Linked DNA regions of Canis lupus familiaris. The protein of the gene in region 1 interacts with the protein of each later gene in a biochemical or structural test. Links are inferred from orthologs where the notes say so. Each region holds a gene or a part of one and is shown on either strand. Other genes may lie near its edges.

The links.
Region 2: the proteins of EZR (region 1) and ICAM3 form a complex in vitro, tested with the Homo sapiens proteins (2 studies listed by BioGRID). The link is inferred for Canis lupus familiaris from reciprocal best matches to the Homo sapiens genes EZR and ICAM3.

The regions. Positions count from the first base shown.
Region 1 is NC_049222.1:48,697,491-48,707,556, reverse strand, and holds the start of EZR (ezrin), read left to right. Parts: upstream 1-4,291; 5' UTR 4,292-4,430; coding exon 4,431-4,442; intron 4,443-10,066. UniProt on the Homo sapiens protein: Probably involved in connections of major cytoskeletal structures to the plasma membrane. In epithelial cells, required for the formation of microvilli and membrane ruffles on the apical pole. Along with PLEKHG6, required for normal macropinocytosis.
Region 2 is NC_049241.1:51,169,799-51,179,832, reverse strand, and holds the start of ICAM3 (intercellular adhesion molecule 3), read right to left. Parts: upstream 5,405-10,034; 5' UTR 5,390-5,404; coding exon 5,361-5,389; intron 4,962-5,360; exon of another isoform or gene 4,710-4,961; coding exon 4,618-4,709; exon of another isoform or gene 4,613-4,617; intron 4,084-4,612; coding exon 3,817-4,083; intron 1,944-3,816; exon of another isoform or gene 827-1,943; intron 513-826; coding exon 207-512; intron 1-206. UniProt on the Homo sapiens protein: ICAM proteins are ligands for the leukocyte adhesion protein LFA-1 (integrin alpha-L/beta-2). ICAM3 is also a ligand for integrin alpha-D/beta-2. In association with integrin alpha-L/beta-2, contributes to apoptotic neutrophil phagocytosis by macrophages.

The DNA.
Region 1 (10,066 bases):
GTGAACAAAAACCATGGCTTAGAAAAGACAGAGGTATAATTTCACAGAAGAATTGTGAAGAGAGAGACAATAAATAATATTGTCAGGATCCTGATACATCTTAAGTCAGCTGTTCTGAAATTTTGGTATGCATCAGATTCACCTGGGGGCTTGCTAAAACCATAGAGCCCAGGGTTTACCTGAGCCTTACTGGCTTGTGATTCCTGGAGGGGGCTCCTTGAATGATTCCAAGGCAACTGAAGCTTCAGGGCCACTGTCCTAAGCAATTCTCTCTCTCTCTCTCTCTCTTTTTAATATTATTTATTTATTCATGAGAGACAGAGAGAAGCAGAGACATTGGTAGAGGGAGAAGCAAGCTCCCTGCGGGGAGCCCGAAGTGGGACTCATCCCAGCCACCTGGGGATCATAACCTGAGCCAAAGGCAGATGCTCAATCACTGAGCCACCCAGGTGCCCCTGTCCTAAGCAATTCTCATAGATGCCTTGGAATTGGTTCTTCTGTGTGTGTTGGGGAGGGCGGGGGCAGGGAAGGAGTTTAGGTCCCAATGTCAGATGAAAATAAATTACCCCTGGTAAATCCTCTTAAAACACTCATAAGATACAGCAGGAATGTTTTTGCAGAGGAAGAAAACCCTGTAGAGCAGCACGTAAGGATAATGCTTACAGTAAGACACATGAGGAATGCGTATGCAAACTATATCTTTATACTATTCTAACTTACAGGAGAAAAGTATGCCTAGAAGTCAAAATGCTCAAAAAAAAAAAAAAAGCAAAATTAAATGCTCCATTTTATGACTTAGTGACACAAAAACACCATGAAATATATATTATAAAGTCCATTTTACGGATGAAGAAGTGGGAGCTCAGTCACTTTAAAGAGATTTGCCCGAAATGATTGGCATGTCAGTAATGGAACCAAGATTCAGACTTAGTTCTGTTTGCTCTTTTCATTAAACTTTTTGAGATAACTGTAGATTCACATGTTGTAAGAATGCAATCTTTTCATTTTGATCACACTGCCAGAGGCCAGTTCTTTTTTTTTTTTTTTTTAAAGACTTTGAGATAGAGAGTGAGAGTGCACAAGTCGGAGGTGGGGAAGGGGCAGAGGGAGAAGCAGGCTCTCCACTGAGCAGGGAGCTCAATGTGGGACTCAATCTCAGGACCCCGGGATTATGAACTGAGCAGACTCTTAACCCACTAAACCACCCAGATGCCCCAAGGGCCAGTTCATTTTTAAGCATTCCCCTGAAGGGTAAAGTTCAGAAATGCTTCAGAAGGTCTTGGGCCACTGCTCTTTTAAACATCTAATTTAAAAGACAATATGCTAGGGGCAGCTGGGTGGCTCAGTGGTTGAGCATCTGCCTTTGGCTCTGGGCATGATCCCGGGGTCCTGGGATGGAGTCCCATATCAGGCTCCCCGCGGGAAGCCTGTCTCTGCCTATGTCTCTGCTTATCTCTCTGTGTCTCTCATAAATAAAAAAATAAAATCTTTAAAAGAATAAATGAAAAAAAACCTATGTGCTATAAACTGGGTAAAAAAAAACAAAACACAAAAAACAATAGATCAGAAGCACAGTGTCAGGAGAGTTGGAACCAAAAATGGCTCCCAAGGCTCCAGGCAGTGATAAGGAGGGAGAGAGGGTGTGCGAGGAGGACATGTCCAATCGGAACCATTGTCACGGTAGGTTATTTAATATCTTTTCATAGTTTTTTCCTACTGCACTTACCCTTCCATCTCCATTTTAATATTAAAGTCTCTCAGAATAAACGCACTTGTCAGAATACAGGACAAAGGCCTCGGGCCTCACCGGGGCCTCTGCCCTGCTGTGGACCTGCAGCTGAGAGAGGGTCACAGGTGCCTACTGACAAGGGTTACCCCATCAGTGGTCTGTCCCTGTGGCAGGTTAGGCATTAGGAGGAAGCCCTCACTGTGTTAGGTACTTAGCATGCATGATCTCATTTAATCCCTAAAGCCCACAGAGTATCTCCATTCTACACAGCAGGAAACGGAGTCTTATTTGGTGCTTTGCCAAAGTGACCGGCTACTCTTTGTACCAGGGCAGATTTAAGCCCTGTTCTAGGCATCTTACATATATTACCTCTAATCCCCATAAGGACTCCATGAAAAGGGTGCCATAATTATGCCATTTTGCAGATGCGAAAGCACTAACTTATTTAAATAACTCTCTCAGCCCAAGAAGTTAGTGGTGAGCCCAGGAAGGGAATCCAGGAGAGGCTCTGGTCTCAAGCCTGAGCCGGCATCACAACCACCTGGACGCAGGAAGGCGCAGACTGCTGGGCCCCAGCCCCAGTTTCGGACTCCGGGGGCGGCCCCTGTGAATTTCCGCTTCTGCAGGTTCACAGGTGAGGTCGGAGCTGCTGGTCTGAGGACACAGCCCTAGAGTCCGCTGCCTTAGTCACTGTGCAACAAATCCCAGGGGCCACCGAAGTACACGTGTTTTTAAAAGTTCCTCTTGGGGAGCGTGTGCAAAAATTATTGAAAATGATTCCCAGAATCTCTGCCCGCGGAGATTTTACCATAGTCCGCGGTGAGTCAAGTCAGACGAGACCGCACCGTGTCCCCGACGCCGAGCGCTCGGCCGCGGGGCGCCTTCTCCCGCCGAACCCGAAGGCAGGGGCGCGGCCCACGTGCGCCCCGACGCAGCGGCCCCGCCCGCGCCCCCAGCGGCCTGCCCGGGCACCCCACCGCGGCCGCCCGCGCGCCCAGCTTTTTTGACGTTATTTTGGTGTCCCTTGGCCCTCCGTGGAGCGAACGGTCTCACGCCTTAGGCGTCTGCAGCCAGAGACACCGCAGTGGGGTCAGACTCGGCCACGCTCTCGGCGAGCGGGCGCGCCCACCCGGGTCCCCGCCGCCCTGGGGGAAGCCGGCGGCGAGGGGCGCCCCGGGGCCGGGCCGCAGCCATGTTGCGCGCCGGGAGCGCCTGGCGGGGCGGGCGGGGCGGTTAGGGGCGCGGCCCCGGGACCCCGCCCCGCCGAGGACTCTCGGGAGCTCGCGCGGCGGGCGCACAGCGCGGACACACCGGCAGCGGGGAGCGCGCGGTCCTCTGCAGGCGCCGCGGGTGAGCGGGCGCGTGGCCCGGGCGGGGGGCGGCGGGCGGCGGGCGGCGGGGTTCGCGCCCCGAGGGGGGCAGGTGTGGCGCGGCCGGCCGGGGGGGTGCGCGGGCCCGGAGCCGGTGGTCCTGGGAAGAGCCGCGCTCGCCCCGCCGCCTGCCGGGCTCGGGGTCCCCTCGGCTCTGTCTCCGGGCGCAAGCAAGCGGCAGGTGGAGCTGAGCCTGCAGGTGTGGCCGCCCCCGCCGCTCCGGCCCGTCCGCCGTCGGCTCCGTCCCCCAAGTGCCCGCCGAGCCCGGGCCGCGTGGGCGCGCGTCCTGCCCGGCCCCTCCCGCCGCGCCCGGCCCGCGGCCCTCCGGCCCCTCCGGGGCGGGGACCATTTTTAAAAAGTGTTTCTCAAAGGCTTGACGGTTGCGGTTTCAGCCGTGGGGCAAACGGTTGCTTCACAAAGTGAAACTTGGTGTCTGCTGGGCTCGGGGCTGGCTTCCTGGAAGTCCGGGGAGCACCTCGGAGGACGCCCCGCCCGCTTGCGCGTCCCCGAGTGGGGCCCCCTCCGCCGGGCCCCCTCCCCACTAGGTCCCCTCCACCCGGGCCACCTCCCTCGGGGTCTCCTCCCCACTAAGTCCCCACCCCCGGGCTCCCTCCCCAGTAGGTCCCCACCCCCCCGGGCCCCCACCCCCCGAGGTCCCCTCCCCACTAGGTCCCCTGCCCCGGGGCCCCTCCGCCGGGGCCTCCTCCCCACTAGGTCCCCTCCTCCGGGCCCCCTCCCCACTAGGTCCCCACCCCCGGGCCCCCTCCCCACTAGGTCCTCACCCCCCGGGCCCCCTCCCCACTAGGTCCCCTCCACCCGGGCCCCTTCCCCACTAGGTCCCCTCCACCCGGGCCCCCTCCCCACTAGGTCCCCACCCCCCCGGGCCCCCACCCCCCGAGGTCCCCTCCCCACTAGGTCCCCTGCCCCGGGGCCCCCTCCCCACTAGGTCCCCTCCACCCGGGCCCCCTCCCCTCTGGGTCCCCACCCCCCCGGGCCCCCTCCCCTCTAGGTCCCCACCCCACCCACGCCCCCTGCGCGGGCCTCCTCCCCACCAAGTCCCCACCCGCGCCGGGCCCCCTCCCCCTTCCCCCGGTCCCCTCCCCCGCGGGGCCCGCCCGGCCCGCCGTAATTGCAGGTTGGGCGGTGACTCAGGCGGGCGCCCGCCCGGCCGGTTCTTAAGCGGCAGCGCGGGGCGGGCGCGGAGAGTCGGGCGAGGCGGCGGCTGCGCGCGCTGAAGGGCGTCCGTCTGCTGCAGGTCCCGGGAGCGGTCTCAGCTGCTGCGGCCGAGTCGAGTTTCCAGCGGAGTGAGGAAAGCCCGCGAGGAACCCAAGATGCCGAAGCCAGTAAGCGGCCGGGACCCCGGGGCGGGGGCGGGCTTCGTGGGTCGGGGAGGGAGCTCGCGGGGGCCGCGCGCCCTGCGGTCCTTCTGTTCGGGAGCCCCCCCCCCCCCCCCCGCCCCAGGAGTTTATGCTCTTTTGTAAAAGAAAGTTCGGCCTGCTTGAAAACTCTATTCTAACGTCGCTCGGAAGTTTCTCAATAAGAAGTTGTCCAGGTGACGGAGGGGCCGCTGGCTTCCGACGACGCCCGTCGGCTCGAGTCCTTGGGTGGGTCGGGACCGGACCCGCCCACGCCCTGCTCTGGGGCCTGAGCGGCCGGGCTCGGGCTCCGTCTTTCTGGCTGCAGCTGCCTGCCAGCCGCGCTCCGCGCCCCCGGGGGTGCTGGTGGCTGCAGGATCCCTGTCCCTGACAGAGGTTGGGTAGTGACCTGAGTCGCCGATGAAGGAGGGCGGCCCTGCTCTCCGGTCGTGCGCCCCGGGGCCGCCTCGTAAACGTCCGCACCCTGGTCCCCTGAATCTGATTGTGTTGCTCCCAGGGTTAGATCCCCGCCCAGGCTGGGGGGGGAGGGGGGACGTTCATTTAGTGGGGGGAGCAACGCAGGTTCTTTGTGACCAGCATTTCTTGGAAAGCTGTCTGTATCTACCTGCTTTAACACAGGGGAACTGTGGCTAGATGTTGGGGAGAGGATTTGACATTTTTTTAAAGGTTTTGACTCAGGATGGAAGAAGATACGTGCATTCATTACAAATTGCACTTAAAGATATAGAATTCTAGTTTTTCAAACGAGTTCGTTCTGTAGTCCATGCTAATGCATTTTCCAGCAGCAAGTCGTAGAGTCTCTAAAAGGAGTTCTTTATTAATCAAGGGTTTACTGTTAGATTAAATAAATTACTATGTTAATATGCTATCAGCTTCAGAAACCAATATAGTTTTTGTCTAGATTACATAATTAAGATGATTGATTCGTGCTGCAGAAAATGTTTTTTCCTACGCAAAACTCTTCTTTTTGTTTCACACTTGGCACATGGCACCCAGGCTTTACAATGCCTGTGATGTAAAACTGATGTAAACTCAACCAGTTACTCAGGGCACAGCCCCATGCAGCCTTTTGCTGAGCAGCCGTCAAGACGTTACCGTAGGTATTGGTTTTCTTTATTTCACTGAAAACAGGCAGAGTTTAGCTTTTAAGATATCACTCTGAAAAAAGGCAGTAAACCAGTTTCCTGTCACTGCTTTTCTTTCTCATTTCTCAAAATGATCTGTGATTTCTTTTATTCTTTTTATTGCAGTAAATATACGTAAAAATACAATTTGTTATCTTAATCATTCTTTTTTTTATTTTATTTTATTTATTTATGATAGTCACAGAGAGAGAGAGAGAGGCAGAGACATAGGAAGAGGGAGAAGCAGGCTCCATGCACCAGGGAGCCCGACATGTGGGATTCGATCCCGGGTCTCCAGGATCGCGCCCTGGGCCAAAGGCAGGCGCCAAACCGCTGCGCCACCCAGGGATCCCCATCTTAATCATTCTTAAGTGTATAGTTCAGTGGCATAGGTATATTCACCACCACCATCCATCTCTACAATTTTTTATCTTTTGAAACTGAAACTCTAACCATTAAATACTAACTCCCCATCCTCTCCCCCAGCCCTTGGTACCCACCCTTATACTTCCTGTCTCTACCACTTTGACTACTCTTAAGGTCCTCATATAAGTGGAATCACACAATATGGTCCTTTTGAGACTGACTCACATCACTAGTATACTGTCTTCAAGGTTCATCCATGTCGTAGCATGTGTTAGAATTTCCTCACTTTTTTAAGGCTCTTTTTTTTTTTTTTTTTTACTACTTACGGCAGGTATATTTTAATTGTATAAAGATAGATACATTTGAATGGTTGGGGTTTTGGGCTTCTACCTGAATCCTTGAATTCAGCAGGCACAGTAATTTTGATTGATATCTAAACTGTCAGTAGACAACTAAAACAGTGTGAATGAAATATTTATTTGCTGTTTTTTCTCAGTATTACTTCTCGAATCACCACTTGTTAGATTGGGTGTTCACTCATTTAGCAAGCATCTGTCCTGCAAGCTGTGTGCACAAGGCGTGGATAGGTGAGACCAAGCTTGTCTCCGGGGAGCTTATAGTCTAGGACCCAAGCCAGAACACGCACGAATGCTGAAGTAGAAGCTGGAATACTGAGTACCACCAAAGAGGGGGAGAGGCTTAGGTCAAGTGCAACACCGTTGGGAGGAAAACCATCCCATGGGGAAATGCGTAGACTTTATTGAAGTTATCCTTCAGCTGAGAAGTTACCCTTCAGCTAAGTCTTGCTCGAGGGCTGTGGGTAGGATTTGATCAGCGTGGGTACTCCACGGGAGGCACTATTATCTGGTTTTGCTTTTCCCACAACTGTTTTGGGGCTCTACTCATGTAGACTTCCAAGGAGGAGGGTTTGAGGTCCAGAAGACACCACACCCTCTGCTCAGCTGATTGTTTGACCTTGTGGGCCCCTCTCATCTGGGGAGAGGCGCGGGGGGTTTGTGTCCAAGGATCTGGCTCAGGAAGCAGGCCTTGTGCCAGTGGTTCAGCCAAGGGTGACCTGGGGTCCTCCTTCCTCTTTACTTCTTAACTACCACACTTGCTTTCTTCATTGTGATAGGAAGGAGGCATAGGGCGGTAGAAAGGAAAACCACAGCAGTCAAGTTTAGGAATGATGCAAGCCAAGCTCTCTTAAATCTTTTCTGAGCTTAAGGGGTACTGGCAGATGCTGTAACTTCATTTCTAAAGTTTTGATGTGAAAGTTTTTAATATAAAAGATTTTTCCTTTCCGTAGGAAAACTGAAAGCATGTTCAAAATTCCACCCTGTGCCAAAATGTTAAGATAATTTCTGAGATTACTTTGCCTCTCTGGGAATATATAGCCTTTTCCACTAAATTTTTTTTCTGTACCCACTGTGGAATAAGTCCTTGTTTCTTAGCTTCATGTTGCAGGTTCCTGGTCTATAAAATGGGGCTGCTGGCAGTACCTAATTCATAATGGTACATGAGACAGTTAATGTCCATTAAATATTTTAACAGACAGGATTTACTGAATCTACTGGTTCATTTTCCAGCAAACCCCCCCCCCCCCCCCCCCCCCCCCCCGCCCCAATCAATTGAGGAGGACACATGGGATGTGTTTTCTGTGTATCCCTCCTTCACCGCGGGCAGATGGTGAATTAGATAGCTAAGATTTTCCCATGTGGTGAGAAGTGCTGGCTAGGATTAGTCATTTATCATCACACTGTTTGTAAGGCACAGTGAGTCTATTTGTACATTCATCCATTAGTTCAGCAGGCATTTATGCATTATTCTGCTAGAAGTTGAGGCTACCAAGATGAGCAGACACAGAAATATTCCCTGGCGTCGTGGATTTACAGTCTGGTGATTGGAACAGACAGTAATCCTAGAATAACTTGAGTGCATATAATGGCGTTTCTGTGGTGGTTATTGGCAGAAGTGTTAGGGAAGACAGGAAGGCACCCCAGGAGGTGATGACTGTTCAAGCAATGTGAGGAATGGAGGGGTCTTTACTAGGTGAAGGAGGGAAGCCAGAGCAAAACAGCTAGAGGGAACAACTTGTACAAAGGTCCTGTGGTGGGAGGGGAGTAGGATGAGTTCAGGGTTCTAGATGAGAATGTGTATGGCTAGAGAGGAATATCAGGCCAGCTGTGCAGAGCCTAGCAGGCCATAAGAGGGCATTTTCAGGACTTAATTCAGGGGGAAACACTGAAGGGTTTTGATTGGAAGGAATTTGGCTTTTGAAAGGTCATTTCAGCTGCACTAAGAGAATCAGTAGGAGGGAGGAGGTGAAGGTGCAAGGGTAGACTCTTGGAATAGCGTGGACCATGGGAGTGTGATGCAAATGGAGAGAAGTGGATGTGTTTGGGAGCTCTTTGATAGGACTTGGTGGGTAAATTGGGTGCAGAGGGCAGAGTGTAGCTGACTTCTGGAGTCTGGCTTGCATAACTGGTTGGATGGTAGTGCCATTCACCGAGATAAGGAACCTGGAAGAAGACCAGGTGTGGAAGGGAGGGTTGAGAGTTTGGTTTGTACTTGCTGACAAATTTGTGACTGTGATCAATGAAAGGAGTCCTTGCCTTCTTCCATGTTTATAATTGCAACCTCCTAAAATACATACAAATGTCAGTATTTTTCTTAAACTACAGTGTGTTTTAAATTCACATAGACTAAAAGTAATCCAGCTTCATCACACGTGTATACTGCACACACATAAAGTTAAAAGTTAGGTTTTCATGCTTTATTCTCAAACTTTGGCATATGTAATTCTCTGGACACCTGAAGATTCCCGGGTCCCTCACAGTACTACTGAATCCCCATCTTTAGGGCCAGGTGCTTTCAGTAAGCTCTCCCCAGATGGATCTGATGGACTTTGGGAACTGCTGATTTCATAAGGAAAAGGTAGTTTATATATTCATTCCCTCGGAATCTCTGCGATGCAGGGAGGCCCTCTTGATGGGTGGGGTTGATGCCGATGGTTGTGTGTGAGCAGAGACCAGAACCCATGGTATGTTTAGGGGGACAGCAAAACCCAGTGTGATTCCAAAGCATCCATTCAGGCAAATGTTCATGCAGGCTTGGGAGTGGATATTGAGTCGCCTTCTTGAAGTTAGTTGCAACTTAAATGCCATGGGTGCCATCACTGGTATTTGGAATGTGGCTGGGGTGGGGATGAAGAAGATAACTGGATGGATCTCAAACTCCAGAAAGACAGGAGCTAAGATGTCTAATTGGATCTCTCTGATTCAAACTTATCTCTGCAGGAGTCCAGTTGCAGAGCTTAATTTGGCAGTGACCAGTGGGCTCTCTCAAATTTTGGTTTTCTTGTTTTTAAAGGGGAAATAGAGGCAGCCATTGTTCATTAAATAGCAGGGAAGAGAGATCCCATTCCTCATTCCTCTTTTTCTCTTCTGGTCTTCCACACTGGCTTCTCTGGTTAGTCACTGTCCTAAGTAGTAATGTGATTTCTAACGAAAACTTTAATCAGTTTATGAATACTTACAGTTTGGGAAAGGAAAACAATATTGCTATTCTTACTGAATTATGATTACTCTATTTTACTTAAACTTCTGGGCTTCTTTGACATTTTGAAGATTCTTAGGCTGATTCAGTATATGCCTGCTTCACCTCTGATCTGAAGCAATAAAATTCACAGCCTGCTTTTAAAATCGGTGAATGCATTTTGAGTTATTCCTAATATTTTATTTCATTTCAGTGGTAGCTACACTTAGGGGAATCCCCAGTTACTCCAGTTGGTTTTGTTTTGTTTTGCTTTGCTTTTTTTGTTGTTGTGTTTTAAGTAGGCTCCATGCCCAGGGTGGAGCCCAACCTGGGACTCTGTCTCACGACCCTAAGATCACAACTTGAGCCAAAACCAAGAGCCAGCCAGGCACCCCAGCTCCAATTAGTTTTTAAGTTAAGCACTAAATGTATGGTTGCCACTACTAATTAGAGAATATTTACTGAAGAGACTAAAAGATTGCATTATTTTCCTTCTAAGAGTCTTACCATTCATGTCTGTGGCATAAAGAATGAAGATCTTATTGTAGACTTCAGTAGTTTATT
Region 2 (10,034 bases), on another chromosome or scaffold:
TCCTAGGACGCACCTGCTCAGGCTTCTTGTCAGCTACCGCGGCCGCGAGGCTCCCAACTGAGGCTGCACCGGCCTCAGGGGCCAAGGGCACGCCTTCCCCGGAGCCGCTGAGGGTCCAGTCCACTCCATTGTCAAGAAACCTCCCGGCCAGGGCGCCCCTGCGCTGGCTCAGCTCATCACCTACCCTCTGCAGTCCCGTGCCTCACCAAAGGTTCGGAGCTGCCTGGGCGCCGAGCTGTTCTGGAACAATCCCAGCCCTCGGGGCCTCAGGTCCAGGTCCGTGCGGCACGAGAAGTTGGCGAGGTGGTCCTCCCTGCCCGCCGCCACCGTGAACGTGACCTCGGCTGGCTCCCCGACGGCCGGTTGCCGGCTCAGCTCCTCCTCCCCGCGGAGCAGCACCACCGTGAGGTTGGTCCGGGGCGCCCCGCCTGCCACCTGGCAGGTCATGGTGAGGTTCTCACCCACGGGCTGCCAGCGGGGTAGGGGTGCCAGCTCCACTCGCTCCGGGAACCCTGGGGCGGGGGTAGGGAGGGGAGAAGTGTACTTATCAGCCGGCCCTGCAACTCCTACCCCCACAGAACAGGGAGGAGGCTGAGGGTGACCCGGTGCAGAACTGAACTTTGGGTTAATCAACTCGAAGGGCTTAATACTGTGTCTGGAGAAGTGTTTGCTATTGTCATTAGTATTATGATTGCTATTTCCTGTTTTGTGGGATACTCTGCCAGACTCTGAAATAAGTCAGATTTTCTGTTCCTGAGAAAATCACAGTTAAAAAAAAAAAAAAAAAAAAGGAAGGAAGGAAGAGGACTAAATTGGAACTACTTACAATGTTATTAGTACTCATAAAAGTTCCTGTTTATTTAGAGTTTTCCTTAGACTTTCCAAATGTCATTCACCTTCGTTCACACAGCAACCAAGTGAAATCTCTATTATTCTTCTCCTTTATAGATGAAGAAACTGAGGCCCAGAGAGGTGGGGTTGAGGTGATCCACCCAAGAACAGACACGTAGCCAGAAAGAAGCCCTGCTGGGGTTAGAAGGTGAGTCACCCAGACTCCAGACCAGTGTGTACACCTGCCTCCTTGATGTCACATCCAGGGACTCCAATGGCCCCTCTCCCAGCCTCTGTCCTGGACTCTGCCTTTGGCCTCCTCTGTCAATCCCAGGCGCCTGAGACTCTTACAGGGAAGCCTCTCAGGGTGCTCAGGCACAGTCTTGAGGGACTCCACACTGCCAGGCTGGATCTGCTCCCAGCTGCAGCTACAGTGCCCCTCCCAGGCATGTATACCAAACCCTGGGCCTCCTTTGGGAAGCATCGTATACCCTCAACAACTCAAACCTTGATCTCAACTATGACCCTGGCTACTATGAAAAATCTTTAACATCTTACTGTAGGAATCCCCTGCTTTCCAAAAATACCATTACACCACTTCATTTTTATGAAAGACCTACATTAATTGTTAGTACCTGTTCTCACTAAGTAAAAGAAATGCAAAGAGGATTTTTGCTTTTAAGAAAAAATGACAAAGGGTGCCTTGGCATAATTGGTTAGGCCTCTGACCCTTGGTTTCAGCTCAGGTCATGATCTCAGGGTCATGAGATCAAGCCCTGTATTGGGCACTGCGCTCAGCTCAGAGTCAGCTTGAGATTCTCTCTCCCTCTCCCTCTGCCCCTTCTGCTTATGCTCTCTCTCAAATAAATAAATAAATAAACCTTTAAAAAAAAATTTGGTGAGAAGCAAAGATAGCACTCAGCATTGGATTTGCAATGAGGAGTTACAAAGACAGCAGGCACCCTGTGCAGTGACAATGGCGGTCAAGCTCCTTCACCAGGATCACACTCAGCGTCTCTAGCAGCAGATGAGCTTTGACTTGTGTCTGCGAGCATCGGTGCTTTAGCTCCATTTATTTGGTACATCCATCAGCAAGATGTATCCTATGGTACCAGAAAAGCCTAGGAGAGGTTAGTTTTTGGGTCTGAGAATACTCAAGGTTTTTTCGATATAAATTAATTACTTCTTCACTTTACATCATTTTGTTTTTTAACAATTTTATTTATTTATTCATGACAAACACACAGAGAGAGGCAGAGACATAGGCAGAGGGAGAAGCAGGCTCCCTGCAGAGACCCTGATGCGGGACTTGATCCCAGGACCCCGGGATCATGACCTGAGCCAAAGGTAGACACTCAGCCTCGAACCATCCAGGTGCCCCTACATCATTTTGACTTACAAAGGTTTTATAGGACTGCTTTACTTTGGGATAGTTGGAGAAACCTGTATTTATAATTTCAGAGTACTTAACAAAGAGGCCCCCATCTCAGTCTCAGGCACCACTGGTCAGAGATGATGATGTGCTGGCAAATGCTACTAATGCTCAGGAACTAGGGGATGGGGTGTGGTGGGATAGCCCCAACCTGGAGGACTTGCCAATCTCTAAAGTGTACATAACTCCCACTCTGGCTGCTTTTTTTTTTTTTTTTTTTTTTTTTTCCTGGCTGCTTTTAAGCTACAATGTGGCCCAGGGTTTGGAAGAGATGAGTACCATTGGCTCCTGTGAGCCAGAACCATGTCCTGACACACCCACATCCAAATCGACTCACACACAGACACCTATTGACACAGAAACAGGCACTCACACACAGTCCTGGATCCTGACATCAACGTACTCACTTTCACATTCACGCACACACACAGAGACTCATAGACACCCACACAGGCACACACAAATAGGCAGACAGATGCTCATGCATCTGTAGGTACACATGTACACTCCTACAGACATACATAGACTCACAGACACACACACAGGTACACAGACAAACACAGATGCTGGCCCGCAGCAGGAGCATACACATGGTCACATCCGTATACCACACTTATCTATGGAGGCTTCACGAAACAGTAAGAACCATGAGTGACATACTCTATTTTCTGATCATCATATTCCTTTAAATGCAAAGAAACTCTGGCAGGAACCATAAGAAACTGGTAGCAATGGGAGCTGGGGAGATAGACTCATCTGTTAGGAGCAAGGACTTGAGAGCCAGATGACTGGCTTCTCCACTCATGGACTGTGAGCCCTGCCAAGTGACTTTACCCCACTAAGTTCTGTGGTCCTCATCTGTGGAGGGAGGCTCCTAAGTGTACCTCCCCAGCCTGGAGCTTTTTAAGGATTGGATGAGCACCTAGTGCCCACACTGAAACAGTGAGCACTCCCAGCCAGCACTAGGAAATGAGGAAATGGAGGTTGACTTTTATGCCTTGTTATAACTTTTGATTTTGGAACCACATGCATGAATTATTACCTGCCATAAGAATAAAATAAATAGGGGCACCTGGGGGGCTCAGTTGCTTAAGCATCTGCCTTCAGCTCAGGTCATGATCCCAGGGTCCTGGGATTGAGCCCCGCATCAGGCTCCCTGCTCATCAGGGAGTCTGCTTCTCCCTCTGTCCCTCACCCTGCTCGTGTTCTCTCTCTCTCTCTCTTGCTCTCTTCCTCTTTCAAATAAATAAAATCTTTTTAGAAAAAAGAATAAAATAAATAACAGACATGAGACATCTTTGAAAAAATGCTTGTTGGGACCAAGTAAATTGATCTCACAGCTGTTGCCTTGGCATATGGTTGAGATGCATCTCTCTCTCTCTCTCTCTCTCTCACACACACACACACACACACACACACATTCAGGTTCAGACTCTGGGTCAGAGGACTGGTCCATCTCTGCAAACTCGGGGTTCCCTGCTCCCCCTGCACCACTGGTCATCTACCCCCACTACTGCCCAAGGCCAGTCCCAACTCTAGGTGCCATCACTCACGGTATACTGTGATCTCAGAGGAGCCTACCATCTGGATGTCATTGCAGAAGCCGGAGCAGAGGACCTGGCTGTCACTAGTCACATTGCTTAGCAGGAAGGCTGCCCAGCCCAGGCCGTTGCCCACTGGCTTCTTGGCTAGGGATGTCTCTAGAATGATGAGTCGAGGATTGGGGCAGTCTGTACTGCAGTTTACCAAGAAGGACCCTCCAGCAGGCACCAGAGTGTTCTCGACCTCCAGCCTCATTTGGTATTGCTGTGCCCGGGCACCTGTGGAAACAGAGGGACACTCTGCTGATTGTTCGGGTACCCCTACTTACCCACCTGCAGGCCCCACCTTTCAACATGACCTCGCTGCCTTCACGGTGCCTCAGTCGAGTGGGGAAGACAGATGATGGATCAGGAACTGGGGGAAAGCCCAGAGAAAGACTAGGGGAGACCCTGATGCAGCCCGTGAGCCCTCCTTCCAGAAGAAGGAGACAAAGCCAGTTTTGAAGGGAAAGTAGAAGTTATCTGAGTGAAAGAAAAGTGATCCTGGCAGAGGGAAGAGTAGCGACAGAGGTCCAAAGGGATTCTGTGTTGGGGTGGGAGACAAGTCACATGCAGGAACTAGTCCTCGGGGAGCCCCAAAGGCTGAGGTGAAGAGCCAGAACTTTCTATTGAGGCCACTGGAGAGTCCCTGTTGATGTGAGTTTAAGGAAGTGTCACTGCAGCCAGGGCAGCAGGGGGGTGCTCTTCCCTGCCTACTCCCCCAGCCTCTACCAGCCCCCCATCTCCAGCCCTCTCCAGCCTGACTTGCCTCACCTGAGGGCGGCAGACAGCAGACCAGAAGCAGGGAGATGAGTGAGTTCCCGTAGGCCCCCAGCAGCAGCCCCGAGGGCAACATGGTGACCAAGCTGCAAAAGGAAGTTGCCTTAATGAGGGCAGGGGGAAGCAGGCAGAGCACTCGGGGACGGAACCACAGTCACTGTCGAAATTGCAGAAGTTCAGGGGTTACTTTTTTGCCCAGAGCTGGGGAGGGCAGGAGAGATATTCTGTGGCCCAGGGGGTCCAGAGTAGGGCACCCGGCCAGCTGGACGTGGTGGCTGGTGAGTCTTGGACAGGGAAGGCCTGACTTCAACTGCTGAGCCTCCAAATGAACCAACAGGAAATGTTCACGCGGTTATCTTTGTTCTCTGAACTAGGAAGACTGGGGTGAGGTGGAGGAGGTGAGACACCTCCTTCCTGCTGAACTTGGGTAAAAGAGGGGTGTTCTGTTTCAGAGAGGAAGTTAGCAGGGGATCTCCAGACCGGGACTGTCGTTGAGGTGATAAGGTGGGATTTCAAGGCAACGTTTCAGGAGGACAAGGAGGGGACGTCTATGCGGGGTGTAAAGGCATCAGCATGAGCTCTCCATATTCCTGGGATGAGGCAAATAAGAGGTGTGGGGGCGATGAGGGACCCCTAAGATGAGTGAAGACATGGAAATGAGCAGAGTCCACATCGATTGGGCCCTTGTGCCTGGCTCTGTGTTGACCTGTCTGCATGGCTGCTATGGGGCCCTTTACCTTTGAAGATCTCCAACGGTCTCCCCCATTCCCTGTGGTCCATGCTGAGGTGGGGTGTTTGGAGCACAGCTGAATCCCGAACCACTGACTGTCGAAGATGCCCCTTATAACTGGCCCTCAGCACCGTCCTTATGACCTCCTTGCATGCTACTCCAGGCAGCTGGCTTCTCCACACCCCAAAAATGGACTGGGGGGCCAGATGGTTACACCAATTTCCACTTGCTCCATCTCTCGAGTTTTGACCTTCCTTTGTGCCTCTGATCCGAGCTCCAGAAAGAAACCTCGTTGAGGTCCCCGATGGCACCCAGCATCCAACCATCTCCCCATCCTAAGGCCATGCCCCCTCCTCTCTGAACTGGACCATCCCCCCATCCCATGTGGCCTCTCCCCTGCTGCCCCTCCCAACCACCCATCTCCCACAATATCCTGAGAGAGTGACCAAAACCCAAATCAAAACTATTTGTAAATAATACTGGTCTCCCTCACTTTTCTAAAGTTCCGTTACGCCACTTCACTGTTATGAAAGCCCTCCATCAGTACCTCTTTTTTGTTAGCCAAAAGAAAGGTGATGATAATTTTCCCTTTTATGAGAAAAGATGAAAGCAAAAATAGTATTCAACACTGGTTTTACAGTGGACATTATAGAGGAAGTGCCCCCCGGGAAGAGTGGCGCCACCAAGGCTTCTCCACCAGTCTATTGGTTTTTTTAAAAAGAGTTTATTTATTCATGAGAGACACACAGAGACAGAGACACAGGCAGAGGGAGAAGCAAGCTCCACGCAGGGAGCCTGATGTGGGACCCGATCCTGGGACCGAGGGATCACATCCCGAGCCAAAGGCAGATGCCCGACTGCTGAGCCACCCAGACGTCCCACTTTATTTAGGCTGTTTTGACTTACGAAAGATTTCATAGGAACGCTTTACCCACGCGTGGCTGGGGAAACCTGTATATCTGTCAAGGGCTTATCTCCAGGTTATAGAAATTCTTGGAAGTTACAGAGGAAGTTAACAGGGGATCTCCAGCACTGTCCTTGAGGTGATAAGGTGGATTTCCTTTTTTTTTTCTCTAAAGATTTTATTTATTTATTCATGAGACACACACACACACACAGAGGGAGAGAGAGAGAGAGGCAGAGACACAGGCAGAGGGAGAAGCAGGCTCCATGCAGGGAGCCCGATGCGGGACTCAATCCTGGGTCTCCAGGATCACACCCTGGGCTGAAGGTGGCGCTAAACCGCTGAGCCACCTGGCTGCCCCCAAGGTAGGATTTCAAGGCAATATTTCAAGAGGATACTTGGGGGGACTTCTAGGAAGGGTCTAAAGGCATTAGCACAAGAGCTCGATATTCTTGGGGGTGGGGGAGACACAAATACAAGACCACAACTCAACAGCAAACAATAAATAAAATAAAATAATGGGCAAAGGACTTGAATAGACATTTCTTCAAAGACACTATATAAATGGCCCATAAACACACACAAAAAAAGATGCTGAAGATTACTAGTCTTTAGGGAAATGCAAATCAAAACCAGAATGCAATAGCACTTCACAACTATTAGGATGGCTATCATCAAAAAAATAAACCAAAAAACCCTGCAGAAAACAATTGTCAACAAGGATGTGTAGGAGTTGGAACTCCCCTACTCTGCTGGTGGGAATATAAAATGGTGCAGGCACTGGGGAAACCAGTTGAGCGGCTCTCTTCAAAAAGTTAAACATAGAGTTATAAAACAAACCAACAAAAATGTAGAATTATATTACCCAGCAAACCAACAAAAATGTAGAATTATATGACCACTCCTAGGTAGGTATATCCTAAAGGGACTCAAACAAATACATATATGTACACCGATGTCCACAGCAGCACTCTTCACAAAAGCTGAAAGGTAGAAGCAACCTGAGTGTCCATCAGCAGATGAATGGATAAAAAAAAATATATGGTATATACATATGCATATACATAGAGTCAAATATTATTCAGCCCTACAAAGAAAAAGTTCTAACATGTTACAGCATGGCTGAACCTCAAAAACAGTACACCAAGTGAAATAAGCCAGGCACAAAAGGACAGATAGTCCACTCATGAGGTAGGTACCTAGAACAGACAAATTCGTAGAGAAAGTAGAATGGTGGGACACTAGGGGGCCTCAGCGGTTGAGTGTCTGCCTTCAGCTCAGGGCATGATCCCAGGATCTGGGATCGAGTCCCATATTGGGCTCCCTGCGGATAGCCTGCTTCTCCTTCTGCCTATGTCTCTGCTTCTCTCTCTCTCTCTCTCTCTCTCTCTCTCATGAATAAATGGATAAATCTTTAAAAAAAAAAAAAGTAGAGTGGTGGTTACCAGGGGCTGAGGGAGGAGTGGAATGGGGAGTCCGTGTTAATGGAAACAGCTTGGGAAGATGAAAAAGTTCTGTACACAGTGCTGTTGGTTACACAACATTGTGAATACATTTAATGCCACTGAACCATACACCTAAAAAATGGTTAAAATGGTAAGATTTATATTTCGTTGGGTTTTTTTTTGTGTGTGTGTGCTTTTAAAGATTTTGTTTATTTGAGAGAGAGCAGGAGTGAGAGTAGGGAGGGGCAGAGAGAGAGGGAGAACCAGGCTCCGTGGTGAGCAGGGAGCCTGATATGGGGGTCAATCCCAGGACCCTGGGATCATGACCTGAAGCTGAAGGCAGGCTCTTTTTTTTTTTAAGATTTTATTTGTTTATTCATGAGAGACAGAGAGAGAGGCAGAGACACAGGCAGAGGGAGAAGCAGGCTCCAGGCCGGGAGCCCAACACAGGACTCGATCCCAGGTCTCCAGGATCATACCCTGGGCCAAAGGTGGCACTAAACTGCTGAGCCACCTGGGCTGCCCTGAAGGTAGGCTCTTAACCAACTGAGCCACCCAAGCACCCCAAGAGTTATATTTTGTTTATTTTACCACAGAAAAATAAAAGACATATGCTTATTTTGATTTGTATCCAAGACATGAGATGGATTGCTGGATGAATAGAGGAATGGATAGATCCAGTATGATCAAGCACATTTAAGCAGGTAAATTTGGCAATTCAGGTAATTATGGAAGCTAAAGGTATTCACTGTATTGCTCTTCTAACTTTTTATTTTAAGGTTTTATTTATTTAAGAGCGAGCAACAAGTGCATGCGCACATGAGTGGAAGGGAGGAGCAGAGGGAGATGGACAAGTAAGCTCAACACTCAGTGTGGAGCTGGACATGGGGCTCCATCTCATGACCCTGAGATCATGACCTGAGCTGAAATCGAGTCAGATGCTTAACTGACTGAACCACCCAGGCGCCCCTTAACAATGCTTCAGTACAAAAATGTTGGAAAATAAAAACTGGATCCTTGATGGATCTGAGTGGCTGCTTGAGTCTCAAAAGGAGCGACAAGCTGACTTCGAGTGCCTCCTGCTGAGAAGGCACAATGCCTTTTGTAAAAGTCTACCCAAGAAATGGAAACTGAACCTGACCATTGGTTGGTCAAGGTGAGGACAGAGGAACATGTTAAACTACACCACAGGGGTGACATGGGACTGAGAATCCCTACAGGACGAACAATCCAGTATCTTTTTTTTTGTTTTTAATTTATTTATTTATGATAGTCACAGAGAGAGAGAGAGAAAGAGGCAGAGGCACAGGCAGAGGGAGAAGCAGGCTCCATGCACCGGGAGCCCGATGTGGGATTCGATCCCTGGTCTCCAGGATCGCGTCCTGGGCCAAAGGCAGGCGCCAAACCGCTGCGCCATCCAGGGATGTATTGCAAGGGGGAAAAAAAGAAAAGAGGAGCCTAGAACTTCAAGGAGGGTGCCCTTAATCCACTGCAGGACCATGGGCCTTGTTTGCATTTTTATTGGAACCAACTGTAAACAAACACTAAATATTTAAGAAATCATTGGGGGAATCCAAACACCTACAGGCTACACAAAAATATTGAGGAATTATTTTGAAGCTTTTTAGGTGTGATAATGACAGTACTGTTTGTGGTCTGTCTCTTCAAGATGCATACAGGTGAAATGATGTCTGCGATTTGCTTCAAAAGTCTCCAGTGGCTGGGGTAGGGATGGGGTAGAGCTGAAACTAGACTGGCAATGGGTATCAGAAACTGCTCGTGTTGGCTGTTAAGTTCAGGTTTGTTACATTATAATTCCCTGTTTTGCATATGCTGTAAATGGTCCATATATATTTTTAAATAAGTAGCTACACAAGAATAAGCATGATCATTTCTTAAAAAAAAAGGTGTTATTATTTATTAATGAGAGACAGAGACATAGGCAGAGGAAGAAGCAGGCTTCCTGTGGGGAACCTGATGCAGGACTCAAACCCAGGACCCTGGGATCACAACCTGAGCCAGAGGAAGATGCTCAACCACTGAACCACTCAGGCGCCCAGCAAGAGCATATATATTTTTTAAGATTTTATTTATTCATGAGAGACACAGAGAGAGGCAGAAACATAGGAAGAAGGAGGAGAAGCAGGCTCCCTGCAAGGAGCATGATGTGGGACTCAATCCCAGGACCTTGGGATCACACCCTGAGCCAAAGGCAGACGCTCAACCATTGAGCCATCCAGGCATCCCAAGATCATTTTTTAAAAAGATTTATTTAGGGGGATCCCTGGGTGGCTCAGCGGTTTAGCGCCTGCCTTTGGCCCAGGGCGTGATC